Linked DNA regions of Macaca mulatta. The protein of the gene in region 1 interacts with the protein of each later gene in a pairwise test. Links are inferred from orthologs where the notes say so. Each region holds a gene or a part of one and is shown in the gene's direction. Other genes may lie near its edges.

Region 1 (4,467 bases):
ACTCCCTCCACTGGGAGCTGTGCGACTTTGAGCAAGAAGCTTCATCCCATTGGGCCTCGGTTTACCATTGGAAAGGACTTGTGAGCGAGGTTGAATGAGCGCAGCAGATGGCCTGTGGTTATTTAGAGCAGTGCTTCCCTGGTTGTTTGGTATCACAGCGATCATAGAAATACTTGTGTGGCCCGGTGAAATGGAGGCGGAAACTCAGTTTCTACCTTCACAGGGCCTGACTGGAGGGGGCTGAGGACGATGCGGAGGTTTCCTGTATTAAAACAGACTACCCCCCCTTCCCAACGCACAACCCCGAGCACGTGGCCGTGGGTTCCCAAGCGCCTCTCCTCCCAGGGCCATGGGCATGACCACCGAAAAGCGGGTTAGGCCGGGGAGTTCAGAACCCGGAGTGAATCGAAACTACCCCAGGTAGATGGCAGCGAAGAAAATTCTGTTCTTAGGGGAACGCAATCTTCGGACACCAGAAGTTCCCCTATGATGCTATTCTGTGGCAGCCTCGCACTTGAGCCGGATGAGAATTGTAAAAACCCAGGTTGGGAGACAGGACGGCGCGTCTTCCCGGCTCCTTTCCAGAGTTTAGACGGAGCCATGCAGACTCAGCTGGCCTTTGGGTGTAGGTGGGCAGGCCCGAGGCGCCCTCTCGAGACCCCTTCAACCTCCCGGGGGCAGCAACACCGTATCGGCTATGAATGGCGTCTCTGGAAAACTCAGGCTTGGAACAGGTAACCCCCCGGTTTCCGCAGGCCAGAAATCAGCCCCCGCAACCGAAGGACGCGCAGGCTGGGAGTGGCGGCGGGGCCGCCAGTGGCGGACCTCCACTGAGGGCGGCGGGACCCGACCGCAGGGGCTGGGCCCTGAGGCCACTATGGGGTGCGCTAGGCTAAGGTCTCCTGGGGGCAGGAGCCAGTGCGATTGTAGCTGGCCAGCAGGCTGGCCGGCCTGAGGCCTGGCAGAGACCCGAGACCCCGACCCTTACCACGCGGACTCCGTGATCCCTCTCCCAGCAGCCGCCCACCTGGGGCCCTGAGCCAATAAGAGCTCGAGGTATATATGACTCACCGTGCCTGGGCCAATCAACTTGACGCGCGCTCTTCGCCAGCACCTCGCGCGATAACCTGGCTTCCTCGGCCTTCACAATAAAAACTCTCCGCCGGAAAACGACCTCTCCCCGCCCACCGCGCCGACACCGGAAGCGAGGCGTGTCTGCGAGATCACTCCGCGCTCCGGCGGCGAAGGAAAGAACGGACTCTGATCATAGAAGTCTAGTAAAGTAGTGCACCTCTCTCGTTTCGTGAGGTCATAAGAACAAACACCTTTTCTCGTCACAGCTACGCGCTGGGCATAAACGGTTGGGGCGTCAAAGGGAGGGAAACGAGCGGGCGGGAGGAGATGGTCACGTGGCCGTGGCGGAAGGATGCGTCGGTGCTGCGTCCCCTTAGAGACGAAGTCTATAAAGGGCCGGCGGGCGGCTGCTGCGGCCATTTCTACTTCGTCCGCCCACAAATGTAGTTTGGTTTGCACGTGTGCGCCTTCCCTCCTCCCCGCCCGCAGGGTCCACGGCCACCATGGCGTATTAGGGGCAGCAGTGCCTGCGGCAGCATTGGCCTTTGCAGCGGCGGCAGCAGCACCAGGCTCTGCAGCGGCACCCCCCCCAGCGGCTTAAGCCATGGCGTGAGTACCAGGGCGGGTCGTCCAGCTGTGCTCCCTGGGCCGGCGCAGGATTTGGGTTGGTGGGGTGCGGCCTGGGGCCGGGGCGGTGCCGCCAAGGAGGAAGCGATTTTACGAGCGCCCGGGACGCGTGGTCTTTGCTTGGGTGTCCCCGAGACGCTCGCGTGCCCGGGATCGGGAAGGCGCATTCTGGTGCCAGGACTGCTTCCACAGGGGCCCTGCCGCCCTCGGACCCCGAGTCCCCCAAGGGTCCCAGGGGTCTCGGCTTTCCCCCCCGCGAAACGTGGCAAGAACCAAGATGGCGGCGGCAGGGCGGCGCCGCGGGCGTGAGTCAAGGGCGGGCGGTGGGCGGGGCGCGGCCGCCCTGGCCTTATTTGGACGCGGGGACGGAGCGCCTTCCTCTTGGTGGCCGGTGGAAGAATCGCCTGGTCTCCGTGAGCGTCCATTTTGTGGAACCTGAGCCGCAGCAGGGAGGGGCGGATGCAACTGCCCCGTTGCCGACTCTATAGATGGCTGGACTAGAGAAGTCCCGCCTCGTAAGTGGAAAGATGAAATTCTCAGACCAGCTAACCTCTAATGGGAGTTGGCTTCTGATTCCCATTCAGGCTTCTCACGGCATTCAGCAGCAGCGTTGCTGTAACCGACAAAGACATCTTCGAATTAAGCACATTCCTCGATTCCAGCAAAGCACCGCAACATGACCGAAATGAGCTTCCTGAGCAGCGAGGTGTTGGTGGGGGACTTGATGTCCCCCTTCGACCAGTCGGGTTTGGGGGCTGAAGAAAGCCTAGGTCTCTTAGATGACTACCTGGAGGTGGCCAAGCACTTCAAACCTCATGGGTTCTCCAGCGACAAGGCTAAGGCGGGCTCCTCCGAATGGCTGGCTGTGGATGGGTTGGTCAGTCCCTCCAACAACGGCAAGGGTGAGTGGGCCACCACCACATCGTCTGGGTGGGATCTAGGGTTAGGGGCCTGTTATCTTTGTATCTGACTCACTTGGCCCTGTCATTCAAATCTTTTGCAGAGGATGCCTTCTCCGGGACAGATTGGATGTTGGAGAAAATGGATTTGAAGGAGTTCGACTTTGATGCCCTGTTGGGTATAGATGACCTGGAAACCATGCCAGATGACCTTTTGACCACGTTGGATGACACGTGTGATCTCTTTGCCCCCCTAGTCCAGGAGACTAACAAGGAGCCCCCACAGACGGTGAACCCAATTGGCCATCTCCCAGAAAGTTTAACAAAACCCGACCAGGTTGCCCCCTTCACCTTCTTGCAACCTCTTCCCCTTTCCCCAGGGGTCCTGTCCTCCACTCCAGATCATTCCTTTAGTTTAGAGCTGGGCAGTGAAGTGGATATCACTGAAGGAGATAGGAAGCCAGATGCCACTGCTTATGTTGCCATGATCCCTCCGTGCATAAAGGAGGAAGACACCCCCTCAGATAATGATAGTGGCATCTGTATGAGCCCGGAGTCCTATCTGGGCTCTCCTCAGCATAGCCCGTCTACCAGGGGCTCTCCAAATAGGAGCCTCCCATCTCCAGGTGTTCTCTGTGGCTCTGCCCGCCCCAAACCTTACGACCCTCCTGGAGAGAAGATGGTAGAAGCAAAAGTAAAGGGTGAGAAACTGGATAAGAAGCTGAAAAAAATGGAGCAAAACAAGACAGCAGCCACTAGGTACCGCCAGAAGAAGAGGGCGGAGCAGGAGGCCCTCACTGGCGAGTGCAAAGAGCTGGAAAAGAAGAATGAGGCTTTAAAAGAGAGGGCGGATTCCCTGGCCAAGGAGATCCAGTACCTGAAAGATTTGATAGAAGAGGTCCGCAAGGCAAGGGGGAAGAAAAGGGTCCCCTAGTTGAGGGTAGTCAGGAGCGTCAGTGTGCTTGTACATAGAGTCTCTGCTGTTGCTGTGTGTTGGAATAAATTATTTTGTAGGGAAAGTACTTGTGTGAATTCCTTTTCTGGCAAATTAGCCGAGTGAGGCGCCAACCACGCATCCCAAACTGGTTATAACATTCCTTGTGAGATCTGGGGAGGAGGGCAGTCCAGGACTGAAGATGGGTACCCAGAGTGGGAACTGCTCGCCCTGCTAGGTGTAAGCCACGATGTCTGATGACTCATGGGGCCATACAGCCGGATAGTTGGCCAACTGTAGCAAGTTGGGTCCTTTACCCAGAGGTGAGTTCGCTGGTTGTGTAGGGAGGAGGCTGGAGCTCTCTGAGAGGTTGGGAGGGAGGGACAGCCTGGGCCTCTTACCTATTTATTCAAGAGGGCTTCATGCCAACAGCTGTCGCCTGAAACCCTGGATAAGCTTGCACAGTCCTTGAGATAAGCACACAAGATTAGTTTTCACTTGTTACCCTGAGTTCTGTAGAAACGTGTTCCTGAAGAAAGAAATGGCTCCTTTTCGGAATTGATGCTGAAGCAGGACAGGAGCTGAGGGTTGGCCTCCGTTTCTCCTTATGGGGTGGAAGGATGACATCCTGCACAGGTTCTGGCTAGAGCTGGGCACAAAGGCTACAGTTCCTGTGAAGGCTGTTGTGCCTGTTGCTACCTAAATAGAAGGCCTGGCATCATGCTAGGATGGATCAGCGCCTAGAAACCACGCCTCCTCACCGCAGCTTCTTCCTGGCAAGCTGGCGGGGAGACCTCGCCTTTCCAGGCAGGCGATGTCTTTTGTGTTGCGGATGAGTGCTTGATTTTGTGTTGCGGATGAGTGCTTGAATGCAAGGATCAGCGTATCCTGGGTAGGTCTGTCTTTCCTCTTGTGTCCTTCAGGATCACAGTT
Region 2 (4,662 bases), on another chromosome or scaffold:
ATTGACAGCTGAACTGTTAGGGTTTGCTTCATTCACATATCTCAAAGGCTTTGAACTATCTTGGGGTTGATGCTTCTTGTTAGTTTGTAAATGTCTGAATCCTGGTTTTGGTTTTTCCGTGCCCTGCTCCTGGAACACGCGAAGGAAGGGGCTGTTGAAGAATTGGGTGAAATCTGCTTACTCTTGGGCTGGTGTTAAGTCTGGGGATGGAACCAGAGTAGGAATGGCTGGCTTGGCACTGACGAGTTCAGGGACCTGACTTAGGTTACTGATGTGGACCGTGACTTTTTGTTTGAGACAGTTTCACTCTTGTTGCCCAAGCTGGAGTGCAATGGCGCAATCTTGGCTCACTGCAACCTCCACCTCCCAGGTTCAAGCGATTCTCCTGCCTCCGCCTCCCAAGTAATTGGGATTCGAGGCATGGGCCACCAAGCCCGGTTAATTTTGTAATTTTAGTAGAGACGGGGTTTCGCTATGTTAGGCTGGTCTGAACTCCTGACCTCGGGTGAACCACCGCGCCCGGCCTGGAATGTGACTTAGAACAAGACAGTTTTTCCTGTTTTGTTTTTTTCTTTTCCTACTGCCTGTATGATTGCTATTTACTTAAAGAGACGGAGTCTCGCCGCGGTGCCCAGGCTGGTCTCGAAGCCCCGGACCCAGAGATCCTCCCAACTCGGTCTTCCGAGTAGCTGGGACCACAGGAGCGGGCGCCGGGCACTTTTGATGCTTTGAACTTTCTTCCTAAGGAGAAAGGAGACGGCCCAGCAGCGGATGGTGAAGCTAATCCAATATAGTGAGCTGCCACTAGCGTTTTTAAGTGCATTACAACGTGGTTCTGCTGGACGTTATGCACTCGGTTGCGATATAAAACGCATCATCTACAGGAGGTGACAGGCGCCAAAGTTTAAAAACTGGTCTCAAGGTGTAAGGACTAGTTTCTGGAGCTACTGCCTTCTGAGTGAAGATGGAGGCGCAGACTTCCCGGGTCACACAGTGGCAAGGCAGCTGCCTAGGGTGCGGCGGGACCGGGCGGCACGGGGGGCGTCTGGCCAAGCAGCGCAGCCCGCGAAGGGTTTGTAGCCAGCACAGCGCAGCGGGGCCTGTGGCACGGACCGGTTCTTTCACTTTTGACACGAAGCCCCTCCCACTTACCACGCTCTGCACACGCCCCTGTTAAAATAGAAAAAGACCAAGAGAGGCCTCGGAGACTCAGTCATCATCTGCGTCTCTGGCCGCTCGCTGACGTGGCGAACTGAAATGACTGAGCGCCCGGCTAGGCACTCGCGCACTCCAGCCGTTCCGGCCCAACCGCCGCCCAGAGGTTAGAACAGTAGCCGCCAAAGGCCGCGCACGGGCGCATGCGCGCGTCGGACCAACTCCCTCGCGCAGTCACTTCCGGCGCGCTGGGAGACGTGCGGTTCCGGGTCGCTGCTCGGCTCTCCAGCCGGGCGGTGGGGGCTGGTGACGCGGTCCGGGGCTCACGAGAGGCCCCGGAGGCGGGGCTTTGCTGGCTGCCCAGAGAGAGGCAGGTGCGCGGGCCAGGACTCCGGGAATGCGAGTAGGCCCCTTATTCTCCCGGTGGCCTCTGTCTGTCCCCACAGCGGCCCGGTCAGGGTTGCCCAAGCCCCAAGGCGGGGGGCGGCACCGGGGTGCTGAAAGGGTGAGAGTGGGGGCGGAGGCGGGCTGCCCCGGCCTGGGAGTCTGGAGCCTAGGATTCCGGGATTCCTCCCTGCGCGACCTTGGACAAGTCGCTCCTCCTCTCTGGGGCTCAGTTTCTCTGCTGTCAAATGGGAGAGATGTTGGATCCTTCCTTTCTTTGACAGTCCAAGCACGGGCGGGGCTGGAGGGAGCCTGAGGGAGTGAGATCCAAACTGCCGTGGCAGGCACCTGCCTGCCTCCCTGGGGGTTAGGCATCTGTCTTTACCCAATCTTGCTTTGCTTTCTCTCAGTGCAAATCCGTGACCAGACAGTCCAGGGTCTGGCCAGGTAAACAGTGTGTGAGTATAGTAATCAACTGAGAAATAAATACTGGCCCCAGGAAAACTTAACCTCATTCAAATTGTTTTGCTTAGGGCTCCCAGGGAGAGATGAGTTTAGGCACCCGCTGTGGTGATCAATTCTGTTCTGTGCGCTTGTAAGTGACGCTCTTAGGCAAATAACAAATTCATAGGAGATCAGGGTTAGGGAGGGTATCCCACTGAGAGTTGTGACAGGTTTTCTTACCCCCTTTAATCCTTCTTTTGTCCCTCTTCCTTCACTACTTCTCCCCGTCCCCACCCAACATTTCGGCCATACACTTGGAAAGAAATATCCAATGAATTTTATTTTGTCTTCATGCAGGACAGAATGCTTTGACCTCCAAGCTGTTTTAGATCTAGTAGATAAGCCAGGTGAGTAAGTGGTTTACAGACATTGAAAGTAAAGTTTCTGAAGAATTGTACAGACTTAATGGAGGATCTGAAGTGGTAAGATGGCATTTGTGTATCTCAGAGCAGAGCTTAGGTGTCCTCCACAAAACATGGAAAGTTAAGGTTGGAACCAGAATATTAGTGTTTTATACACCATTGGGAGGAAAAGATTTTTGAATCTTTCTTTGAATATCATGTCAAACATTCTGAAGAAAAGAAACAGGCCGGGTGCAGTGGCTCACACCTGTAATCCCAGCACTTCAGAAGGCCGAGGCAGGTGGATCACCTGAGGTCAAGAGTTTGAGACCAGCCTGACCAACACGGAGAAACCTCATCTCTACTAAAAATACAAAATAAGCCGGGCGTGATGGCGCATGCCTGTAATCCCAGCTGCTCGGGAGGCTGAGGCAGGAGAATCACTTGAACCCGGGAGGTGGAGGTTGCAGTGAGCCCAGATTGTGCCATTGCACTCCAGCCTGGGCAACAAGAAAGAAACTCCATCTCAAAAAAAAAAAAAAAAAAAAAGAAAAAGAAACTGATTGGAGGTAATTTTATCAAACTCAGAACCACACAGCGTCTCCAGAAAATGTTCAAGGATATCAGATACCTATACAACAGAGTTGTCTGGCTTGTCGTCTTTTTTCTGTTACCAGCTTTTCCTATTGGACAGTTGATTGCAAACCATCCTGAAACAGTAGGATATTACACCTTTTACATATTGAATTACATATTGGATATTGGATTACATATGAATCGAATTACATGCGTTTTTCCCTTCAACTTAAAAAAATAACACTAAACTGTAGTTAAGCTTATTGGAGGAAGGATTTGAAATCATTAAGTCACGAATATGTGATGTTGATGTCTGCTCTGGGAAATTTTACCAAATGTGTTATATGTCATACTCAACATGGCATAATTAAAAAAAAAAAACAGAGATTTGTGAATGAGAGTCCTCTGTTCAAATACCAGCCCTGCCACTTAGCCACACAATCTTTGATAGATTACTTCATCTCCTTGAGACTGGATTTCTTCATCTTATATGCATATGAAGCACCTGAGTGCTTTTTAAATGTTTAGTAATTGTGTTCTATAAGTGTACATGTAAATTATGAAACTTAATTTTGAAATCTAAAACTTAACAACTCAGATGTGAAATCTTTCCAGTGTTTAACTTTTGAACTGTCCCTTTCATCTGGTTTATAGATCCTGTGTTGCCATAAGCCCTTGGCCCACATTTAAGTGGGAATGCAGCTAGCTTGGATGTCTGAAACTTTGTAGGCACCTGTGTCTGATTCCTAAACACAGGCACCAGGACTACTGAGAGCTCATCATCCGTGCCGGATAGCCACACAGCAAACATGTTTGCAAAACTGAAGAAGAAAATTGCAGAAGAGACTGCTGTTGCTCAGAGACCAGGAGGTGCTACTAGGATCCCACGGTCTGTGAGCAAGGAATCAGTTGCCTCAATGGGAGCTGACTCAGGAGATGACTTTGTAAGTATCTTTACTTAAGAAATATACTTTTGCAGGAAATTCTTCCAATAAATATTTTAAATTGCTTGATTATTTCATACCTTTCATGATTTGTAGCTATATAAGAGCCTGTACATCTGATTCTTCTTACTCTGAGGTACCTTTTTGTTAATTTTTGGTTTGTAAATGTTAAGGTACTCTTTTTTTTTCCTTATTTTTCTGTGAATTCCTCTTCATATTCTCTCCAGTGTCCTCTTGTACTGTTTTTCCATCTGTGTACCTTGTACATCTTCTTTTGCATTTCATTTCTGAAAATGTCTGGGCCTGTTTTCATTGCAGACATATATACTTATATAACAACTAAGTCATTGCTGCTTAACAAGGTCTCTGAGTTGTGGTAAGGGGTTAGCCAGAGTGCATTGTTGTATTGGGAAGGTTGATGGAAAGATGGCAACAGTGATTACAGTATGTTTCTTTTTTTCTTTTTCTTTCTTTTTTTTTGAGATGGACTCTCACTCAGTAGCCTAAGGTGGAGTGCTGTGGCCTGATCTCAGTTCACTGCAACCTCTGCCTCTGGGGCTCAAGCAATTCTTGTGCCTCAGCCTCCAGAGTAGCTGAGACTACAGGTGTACTCCACCATGCCTGGCTAATTTTTTGTATTTTCTTAGAGACAGGTTTTCACCATGTTGCCTAGGGTGGTCTCAAACTCCTGAGCTCAGGCGATCCGCCCGCCTTGGCCTCCCAAAGTGCTGGAATTACAGGTGTGAGCCACCATGCCT
Region 3 (3,940 bases), about 20 Mb from region 1:
TCTTTCAGCTACAGATTATTCTGTCTTCAGCAGCCTGCAAAGCTAGCTGGAACTGGACTGTTAGAAAAACGTGTAGATGCTGGAGAAAATCTCTTTAATCCTAATGTGTAGCTCTGCCTTATTCCAGAAAAGACCACAGTATGGACATGAAGATGATAAACTTGAGGTAATGGAAGAAGCAGAAACACCAGATATGTTAGCAGCTCTTTTTTCTTTTGAAAACTAGCCCTTGCAAGATTTGCTTGACATACTGACTGACACAGTCCAGAAAACATTTTTCTTTTTAGTTAAAAAAGGCTGATGGTTTTTTCAGACATGTCTTGTGAACTGGCGAAAAATGTAAATGTTGAAAGCTGTAAAATTCAGCAGTTCTAAGTTTATTTCCAGCAAGAGTTAAAGTTTAATAGTAAATTCAACCAGTGTTTTAGCTTTTTGCGTATACATTATGTTTTTAAATTTCACCCATTAAACAAGGACTTAGGTTACACATTGATTCCTTAAGGACTTTAAGGAAGCCACAACCATTTATTTATAGTTGCATTTTGCTTTTCTGATTACAGTTGCATTTTACTCTTCAGCGATTAAAGCTTTTTTTTTTTTTTTTTTAACTTTGTTTTTAGGCATCAAGAGAGAATATATCTAAAAAACACTTGCGGCCGGGCGCGGTGACTCACGCCTGTAATCCCAGCACTTTGGGAGGCCGAGGCGGGCAGATCACAAGGTCAGGAGATCGAGACCATCCTAGCCAACACAGTGAAACCCCATGTCTACTAAAAAGAAATACAAAAAATTAGCTGGGCGTGTTGGCGGGCACCTGTAGTCCCAGCTATTCGAGAGGCTGAGGCAGGAGAATGGTGTGAACCCAGGAGGCGGAGCTTTCAGTGAGCCGAGGTTGCGCCACTGCACTCCAACCTAGGCGACAGAGCAACACTCGGTCTCAAAAAAAAAAAAAAAAGTATTTGCATAGTTAGTGTAATTGCTAAGCCACAGGGTGATGCGTGGATAACAGATTCAGAGGAAGGCAGCTGAGGGCAGAGGCTGCCTGAGAGCAGGAAAAAGAAGCTTGAGAGCCTTCTGGCTGGAAAGGCAGCTCAACAGATGGGCCGCAGCCGTAGATCAGTTCTGAAGCAGGGACTGAAGCAAGTTTGTCATAAATAAAGGAAAGTGGTAGTGTTCCTGTTGTGGTGGATGTATATCCACAACCAGAACCTTTAGCTCTGGAGGGACCATCAGGCTGCCACTGTGGCCAGAGAGCATCACTCACGTCTCCACTGGACAGATTTGCAGAGACTCATCTGTGAACAGAGCAAGTCCCTGCCTCCTGGAGCTCATATGCTGTGAAGAAAAGAGAGGCTGGGTGCAGTGGCTCATACCTGTAATCCCAGCACTTTGGGAGGCCGAGGCAGGTGAATCACCTGATGTCAGGAGTTCGAGACCACCGGGCCAACATGGTAAAACCCTGTCTCTACCAAAAATACAAAAAACTAGCTATGCGTGGTGGCAGGCGCCTGGAATCCCAACTACTCTGGAGACTGAGGCAGGAGAATCACCTGAACACAGGAGGCAGAGGTTGCAGTGAGCTAATATCATGCCACTGCACTCCAGCCTGGATGACAGAGCAAGACTCCATCTCAAAATAAAACAGAAAAGGATGTGGAGAAGAGGGTTGGTGGTTGGAAGGAGTTCTCCTTTAGGGAAGATGTCTGGGAAGGCCTCTCTCAGAGAGTGGCCTTTGAGAGGAGACCCTAATTGGATGAGGGATGAGAGGCTGAGCCATATAAGTATCCGGATGGAAAACATTACAGGCAGAGACAGTGGTGTGTGCAAAGGCCCTGGGACAGGGTCACACATGTTAACAGGTTTTAAAGCTGGAATTGCGGATGAACTAGAGTCAGACATTAATAGGACCAGAAGGGACACTGGTCCCTGAAATAGAATTCGAGGATTTGACCATGGCCAGGAGGCTCAGGTGGCCCACTGGGACCTCCTAAAGTGGGAACTTCATAAAGGAAGAATATAAGAACCAAAGTCCAGGGGGCAGTGCCAGGCCCCAGTCTGTGAGGGTTCCCAGAATTGGTGGGCTAGAGAGAATCTGCTTCCAGTTCAGGCCCTGGACTCTGAACCTCACAGGCACATTGCCATCCATCTTACCCGCTGCCCCCAGCATCGAGATGGGGTCTTGCTCTGTTGCCCAGGCTGGAGTGCCGTGGTACAATCTCAGCTCACTGCAACCTCCGCCTCCCAGGTTGAAGTGATTCTCCTGCCTCAGCCTCCCGAGTGGCTGGGATTACAGGCACCCACCACCACAGCTGGCTACTTTTTGTATTTTTAGTAGACAGGGGTTTCACCATGTTGGCCAGGCTGGTCTTGAACTCCTGACCTCGTGATCTGCCCACCTCGGCCTCCCAAAGTGCTGGGATTATGGGCGTGAGCCACTGCGCCAGGCCTCTGCTATCCATCTTAACATGGTGCCGTGAACCAGCCTCTCAGGAAAAGGGTCTCATGAACAAATGAGGAAAGCAAGCAGAGGTAGGGCAGGGAGGGAGAGGCAAAGGAACGTGTTGTTGGAAAGGGTAGTGTGCCCCTCACAGATGATAGTACCCGTCTCCAGATGTGCCCACTGAGAGTTTATGAAGTGGCTGCTCCATGTGGTCCTTGACTGGCCTAGGGGAGAGTCACAGAAAGCTATAATACCACCGCCTCTTGGTTTCCCCAGGAGCTTGTCCGTCAGCGAGGAGTCCTGGAGCGCACAGAGAAGATGGTGGACAAGATGGACCAAGATTTGAAGATCAGCCAGAAACACATCAATAGCATTAAGAGCGTGTTTGGGGGGCTCGTCAATTACTTCAAATCCAAACCAGCAGAGGCCCCACCTGAACAGAATGGCACCCTCGCCTCCCAGCCCAACAGCAGGTGAGTGTGTCTTCTACCATCTGGGTATAAAGGAGCAGAAGTGGGGATTAGTGCAAATGACCAATGCTTTCAGTCCACGTCAGTGTCATGAAGGGATCCAGCAACCCTTTAAGTTACTCATCAGGATATTTGTCCTCAAACATTGTGAAGCCAGAAACTGTTCTTCCGTGTTCCCATGTTCACTTGATTGACATGTAATCTGTCAACTGCTTCTCCGATAGTTGTGACCCCACTACTTTGAAAGAGAGGGTGTTCGCCTCAGCGTAATCAGTACAAATGTGACTCACTTCACATAATTTTTCCTTTAAAAAGTCTTTAGGGCTGGGTGCAGTGGCTCACATCTGTAATCCCGAAACTTTGGGATGCCAAGGTGAGTGGATTGCTTAAGTCCAGAAGTTCAAGACCAGCCCGGGCAACATAGTGGTACCCCAGTCTTTACAAAAATTACCCAAGCATTGTGGTGCACACCTGTAGTCGCAGCTCCTCAGGAGGCTGAGGTAAGAGGATCGCATGAGGCCTGGAGGTCAAGGCTGCAGTGAGCTGTAATGGTGCTGCTGCACTCCAACCTGAGCTACAGAGGGAGGTCCTGTCTCAAAAAAATAAAAATAAAAAAATTTATGTCTAAATTTGTCATATCTAATCCAATTCACCCATTGATTTTCATTTTAAAATTACAAGACTGAGCTCAGTGGCTTATCTGTAAAATCCCATGCTTTCAGAGGCTGAGGTGGGAGGATTGTTTGAGACCAGCCTAGACAGCATAGCAAAGACTCGTCTCTATAAAAACTAAAGAAAAAAAACAATTAGCCAGACATGATGGCACTTGCCTATAATCCTAGCTACAGGGGAGACTGCGGTGGAATTATTGCTTTAGCCCAGGTGTTAAGAGACTAGAGTAAGCTATGATGGTGCCAGTGCACTACAGCCTCAGTGACAGAGTCTCCCTGTCTCTAAAAAAATATAAAAATAAATAATTAAAATTAAAAAAATAAAGATAGAAGTTGCTTTCCTCAGGTTTTGGCTTGAA
Region 4 (4,729 bases), on another chromosome or scaffold:
TGGGCCACTGAGAAACGGGGTCTGAACAGACCTCCAGGTCCTGCCCCATCCTGACCTGCAAAGTCTATACCAAGGACAGACTTCGGGAAACAGATAGGAGTGAGTGCATGACTTTCCTTTTTCCTTCAGTCATAGATTTGCATCACTAAGAAGGCTTTTATGAGGCTGAAGAGTACATTTTAGAGAGTTCCAATATAATAACAGAACTAGTGTTCACCAAGTTAGATCAATTCTACATTTAGCTCTTTTATCAGCCTCTTTGTTTCCATCTCTGTTATCACTACCTTCTCTTCCCCCATGACTGAGTCTCCTCAGAGGTCTCCTTGCCCCTTGTTCCCTCCAACATGTCATACAAGTCTTGATGACATCCCACTGTTCAGATTAAAATCCATTTAGGGCCTTACTATAACCCAAGATAAAATTTAAATGCTGTAAGTTGAGCCCCTACCTATTGTGCCAGCCCCTCTGTTGTCATCTCCTTCACATACCCTAAGCTACTGAATGCTTTCTAGGTGAGTCAAACTCTGATACCCTACAGGTCTTTGCATTTTTTGCACCTACCTGGAATGCTAGTTTCCCTGATCTCTGGTTAGGTGGACAATCAGGACTCATTCTTAAAATCCCGAAGTATTATTCCCAAGAGCCTTCTATGCCTCACCTAGACAGGCCTCTTTCCTCTTAACTTTCATGCCACTTTGAATATACTCAGACATACTGGTGTGATAGCAGGACATATTTGTATATCTGGTTCCTCACTAGATTGTGAGCTCCCTGAGGGCAAGGTTGTGTCTCTTAATGGTGTTACCATCTAGCACAGCACGTGATATGTTGAGAATCAGACTGATTAGGATAGAACTCCTAAACTTACTAGCTGTGTGACCTTGGGCATGTTACGTATAACCTTTCTGCCTCATGTTTTCATATCTGTAAAATATTGCTAATGAGTATAGTGCTTACAAGAATTATTGTAAAGACTAAATAGCAAAACTCTTGTGAGCTCCTGGTATATAGCTGGCACTCAGAATAGACATGGCTATAGAGTGCCCTCCATAAATATTTGTTGAATCAACTCGGCAGAACTAAGGAAGGGTACTATTACGCTGTATGCCTACTAGGTACCAAGCACTGTGCTAGAGAGGAGTGCAGTTTTCGTGGTCTAAATGGGAGTCTTAATTGTTGCCTTTTAGGGATATGGGTCCTGAGCTCCCAAATCGTTGGATGTGTGGTTCACCTGGGTGTTTGTTAAGAATGCAGTGCGACGTTGCCCTCTGTCGCTCGCTGATCGTAGCCCGAGGTCAAGCTTGGGCGCCCTCACAAAACCAGTACCACTCTGGTGTCTTCGACTTTGCTGGCTTCACCCTTCCCAAACCTGTTGTTTGCCGCTCGCGGCCCCACTGCACATTCTCAGCGGGCCGATGTGGCCCCGCCTACCTCGCGCCCACTGGGGGCGGAGCCTGCGGCGCATCGCTGACGTCACTTCCAGCGGACACGGAAGCGCCGTTGTCGGCAGATGTAGTTAGGAAGTCGTGATGGGTCAGCGTAAGCCTCTGGCCGACGTGGGCCGAGGGGGCCGGCCCGGGCTGTTGTGACCCAGACGAGCGGAGAGTGCGGAGCGGCATTTCGGCCAGCGCTGACGAGCCCTGGCAGTGCGCGCGCCTCTGGTGCCAGTGTCGCTCCGCCTCCGGGATAGAATCCGCCCCAGCCCTCTGGGCCTGGGACCCGGCGGCCGCTTTCTCCAGTCCTTCCCGCCGATCCGCATTAGGTCCGGGATAACTGGGTGGAGTAGGTGTGCGGCCCGCCGCCGGAGAGCCCGCTAGCTGTTTCTTTAAGCCCACCCCTGCGTCTTCGCGGCCCTCTCCCGTTCTGCCGGAAAGCTGACGTGGGGCAATCCGTTCAGAACCTCCATGGAGAAGTTTGGGATGAATTTCGGAGGCGGCCCGAGCAAGAAAGACTTGCTGGAGACTATAGAGACGCAGAAGAAGCAGCTTCTCCAGTATCAGGCACGGCTCAAGGATGTGGTCCGTGCCTATAAAAGCCTACTGAAGGAGAAAGAGGCGCTAGAGGCCAGCATCAAGGTGCTGTCGGTATCCCACGAGGCAGATGTGGGCCTCGTAGGTGTCCAGCTTCCAGGCCTCACATTTCCTGACTCTGTGGATGACCGGTGCTCCACTCACAGCGAGGATAGCACTGGGACCGCCACTAGCTTGGATACTGCGGCCAGTCTCACCAGCACCAAGGGTGAGTTTGGGGTAGAAGATGACAGACCGGCCCGGGGACCACCACCTCCAAAGTCCGAAGAGGCCAGTGGGTCCGAAAGTGGCGTTAGCAGTAGCAGTGGGGATGGGCCATTTGCAGTTGGGGAGGTGGACAAAAGACTGCACCAACTGAAGACTCAGTTGGCTACTTTGACTAGTTCTTTGGCCACAGTCACTCAGGAGAAGTCCCGCATGGAGGCTTCTTACGTGGCTGACAAGAAGAAGATGAAACAGGACTTAGAGGATGCCAGTAACAAGGCGGAGGAGGAGAGGGCCCGCCTGGAGGGAGAATTGAAGGGGCTGCAGGAGCAAATAGCAGAAACCAAAGCCCGACTTATCACACAGCAGCATGATCGGGCCCAAGAGCAGAGTGACCATGCCTTGATGCTGCGTGAGCTCCAGAAGCTGCTGCAGGAGGAGAGGACCCAGCGCCAGGACTTGGAGCTTAGGTTAGAAGAGACCCGAGAAGCCCTGGCAGGACGAGCATATGCAGCTGAACAGATGGAAGGATTTGAACTGCAGACCAAGCAGCTGACCCGTGAGGTGGAGGAGCTGAAAAGTGAACTGCAGGTCATTCGAGATGAGAAGAATCAGCCAGACCCCCGGCTGCAAGAACTTCAGGAAGAGGCTGCCCGCCTTAAGAGCCATTTCCAGGCTCAGTTACAGCAGGAAATGAGAAAGGTAATTATCCACATCTTTTTCAAACATCAGTCATTGACCTGAAGTGAGAACTATTAGGGTTTTTTTCCTCCTTTGCTAGTTAGAGCTAAGTGTCTACAGTGTCATTTTTGATGCTGCCTGAGAAGTTCCACTAGAGAACCTGGGAAGTCCTGTTCTATGTGGTGTTGACGTGTGTGCTTCCAGGAGGATGTGGAGCTTCTCAGTGGAGGCTGGGTTGAAGCCAGACAGCTCTGCACTTCTGGGCATTGGCATCTTACCAGCTGTGGTCTATGAAGCAGTATAGCAGCATCTGTACAGTAAAAGGTAATGTGTCCAGTAAAAGGTAGTGTGTCCAAATGTTCTCTTGGTATGTGCTTCTAGGGAGGGTGGCTGAAGGCAAAGGGGATTTTCTCAGAAGTAACCTCTTGTCATTGCCTTTACTCAAGATTTACCTGTTTTGGAGAAGTGCTATACCAGAACAGGTATTGAAAGGGTGCCTCCTTTCAGTGTGGAGAGGGAAATCCGGCTCAGTTTTGAACTTCCAGGAATATTGGATAAGGAAAAGAATGTTGTATGATTTCTTAATAGGATTTGAGGAAGCACCAGAAAAACAACAGTAACACACATTACATGTGAGTTAGGTGGAAAGCAGAACAATAGCAGATATACCAAGGTGCTTAATATTGTTCGGTATATGTGTTTTGCAGAACCCAAGCAGGTAATAGGAACTTTTGTTAGCTCCTGAAGCAACCGAAAAATCCCTAGTTCACATTCTTGCCAGGCCATCCCAAACCTGTGACCCTTTTGCTCCCCTCTCCTTCGAAACCAGGAACTGGTTTCTCGAAGTTTGCTGTGGGGCTTTTGTGGATGCATTTTTGTCTGTTCCCTTGTTTTCCAGACAGCTCTTGCAGAGGATCAACTCCGTCAGCAATCTCAGGTGGAAGAACAGAGGGTGGCAGCCCTGGAAAATCAAATATCCGAGGTGTCTGAGCTGCTAGGCACCTATGAGAAAGCCAAGCAGAAGGACCAGCTGGCCATTCAAAAGCTGAAGGAGCGCATTCTGCAGCTGGACCTGGAGAACAAGACACTGGCTCTAGCAGCCTCCAGCAGGTCCCCTTTAGACAGCCATGGAGAGGAATCCAGTCTGGATGTCAATGTCCTGAAGGATAAGATGGAGAGGCTGAAGAGGTTGCTGCAGGTTGCAGCCAGGAAAAGCCAGGTGACCCTGGATGTGGAGAAGCTCTGTGACCTGGAGATAATGCCTAGCTCGGAGGCTGCTGATGGGGAGAAGGCTACTGCACTCTATTACCAACAGGAGCTGAAACAGCTGAAGGAAGAGTTTGAGAGGTACAAGATGAGGGCCCAGGTCGTCCTCAAAAGCAAGAATACCAAAGATGGTAACCTGGGAAGGGAACTAGAGGCAGCCCAGGAGCAGCTTGCAGAGCTGAAGGAGAAGTATATCTCCCTGCGGCTCTCCTGTGAGGAGCTGGAACAACAACACCAGCAGGAGGCTGAAGACTGGAAGCAGGAGCTGGCCCGGCTGCAGCAGCTCCACCGGCAGGAGCTGGAGCGGTGCCAGCTGGACTTCAGGGACCGCACACTGAAACTGGAGGAGGAGCTGCACAAGCAGCGGGATCGTGCCCTGGCTGTTCTCACTGAGAAGGACTTGGAACTGGAGCAACTGCGTTCTGTGGCCTTGGCCTCTGGGCTGCCAGGACGCAGAAGTCCTGTGGGTGGTGGTGGTCCTGGGGACCCAGCTGACACATCATCCTCTGATAGCCTGACCCAAGCATTACAACTTGCAGCGGCCAATG

Evidence for each region.
Region 2: the proteins of ATF4 (region 1) and GOLGA1 interact in binary tests that used the Homo sapiens proteins (3 or more experiments, as listed by UniProt). The two-hybrid records come from large-scale screens. The link is inferred for Macaca mulatta from reciprocal best matches to the Homo sapiens genes ATF4 and GOLGA1.
Region 3: the proteins of ATF4 (region 1) and SNAP29 interact in a two-hybrid assay, tested with the Homo sapiens proteins (2 studies listed by BioGRID and IntAct). The link is inferred for Macaca mulatta from reciprocal best matches to the Homo sapiens genes ATF4 and SNAP29.
Region 4: the proteins of ATF4 (region 1) and GCC1 interact in binary tests that used the Homo sapiens proteins (3 or more experiments, as listed by UniProt). The two-hybrid records come from large-scale screens. The link is inferred for Macaca mulatta from reciprocal best matches to the Homo sapiens genes ATF4 and GCC1.

Annotation. Positions count from the first base shown.
Region 1 is NC_133415.1:12,021,007-12,025,473, reverse strand, and holds ATF4 (cyclic AMP-dependent transcription factor ATF-4), read left to right. Parts: upstream 1-1,703; 5' UTR 1,704-2,377; coding exon 2,378-2,603; intron 2,604-2,704; coding exon 2,705-3,534; 3' UTR 3,535-3,617; downstream 3,618-4,467. UniProt on the Homo sapiens protein: Transcription factor that binds the cAMP response element (CRE) (consensus: 5'-GTGACGT[AC][AG]-3') and displays two biological functions, as regulator of metabolic and redox processes under normal cellular conditions, and as master transcription factor during integrated stress response (ISR).
Region 2 is NC_133420.1:22,827,079-22,831,740, forward strand, and holds the start of GOLGA1 (golgin subfamily A member 1), read left to right. Parts: upstream 1-1,422; 5' UTR 1,423-1,660; intron 1,661-2,340; 5' UTR 2,341-2,390; intron 2,391-3,614; exon of another isoform or gene 3,615-3,716; 5' UTR 3,717-3,769; coding exon 3,770-3,904; intron 3,905-4,662. UniProt on the Homo sapiens protein: Involved in vesicular trafficking at the Golgi apparatus level. Involved in endosome-to-Golgi trafficking. Mechanistically, captures transport vesicles arriving from endosomes via the protein TBC1D23.
Region 3 is NC_133415.1:31,700,218-31,704,157, forward strand, and holds part of SNAP29 (synaptosomal-associated protein 29), read left to right. Parts: intron 1-2,716; coding exon 2,717-2,913; intron 2,914-3,940. UniProt on the Homo sapiens protein: SNAREs, soluble N-ethylmaleimide-sensitive factor-attachment protein receptors, are essential proteins for fusion of cellular membranes.
Region 4 is NC_133408.1:167,433,774-167,438,502, reverse strand, and holds the start of GCC1 (GRIP and coiled-coil domain-containing protein 1), read left to right. Parts: upstream 1-1,489; 5' UTR 1,490-1,904; coding exon 1,905-2,936; intron 2,937-3,813; coding exon 3,814-4,729. UniProt on the Homo sapiens protein: Probably involved in maintaining Golgi structure.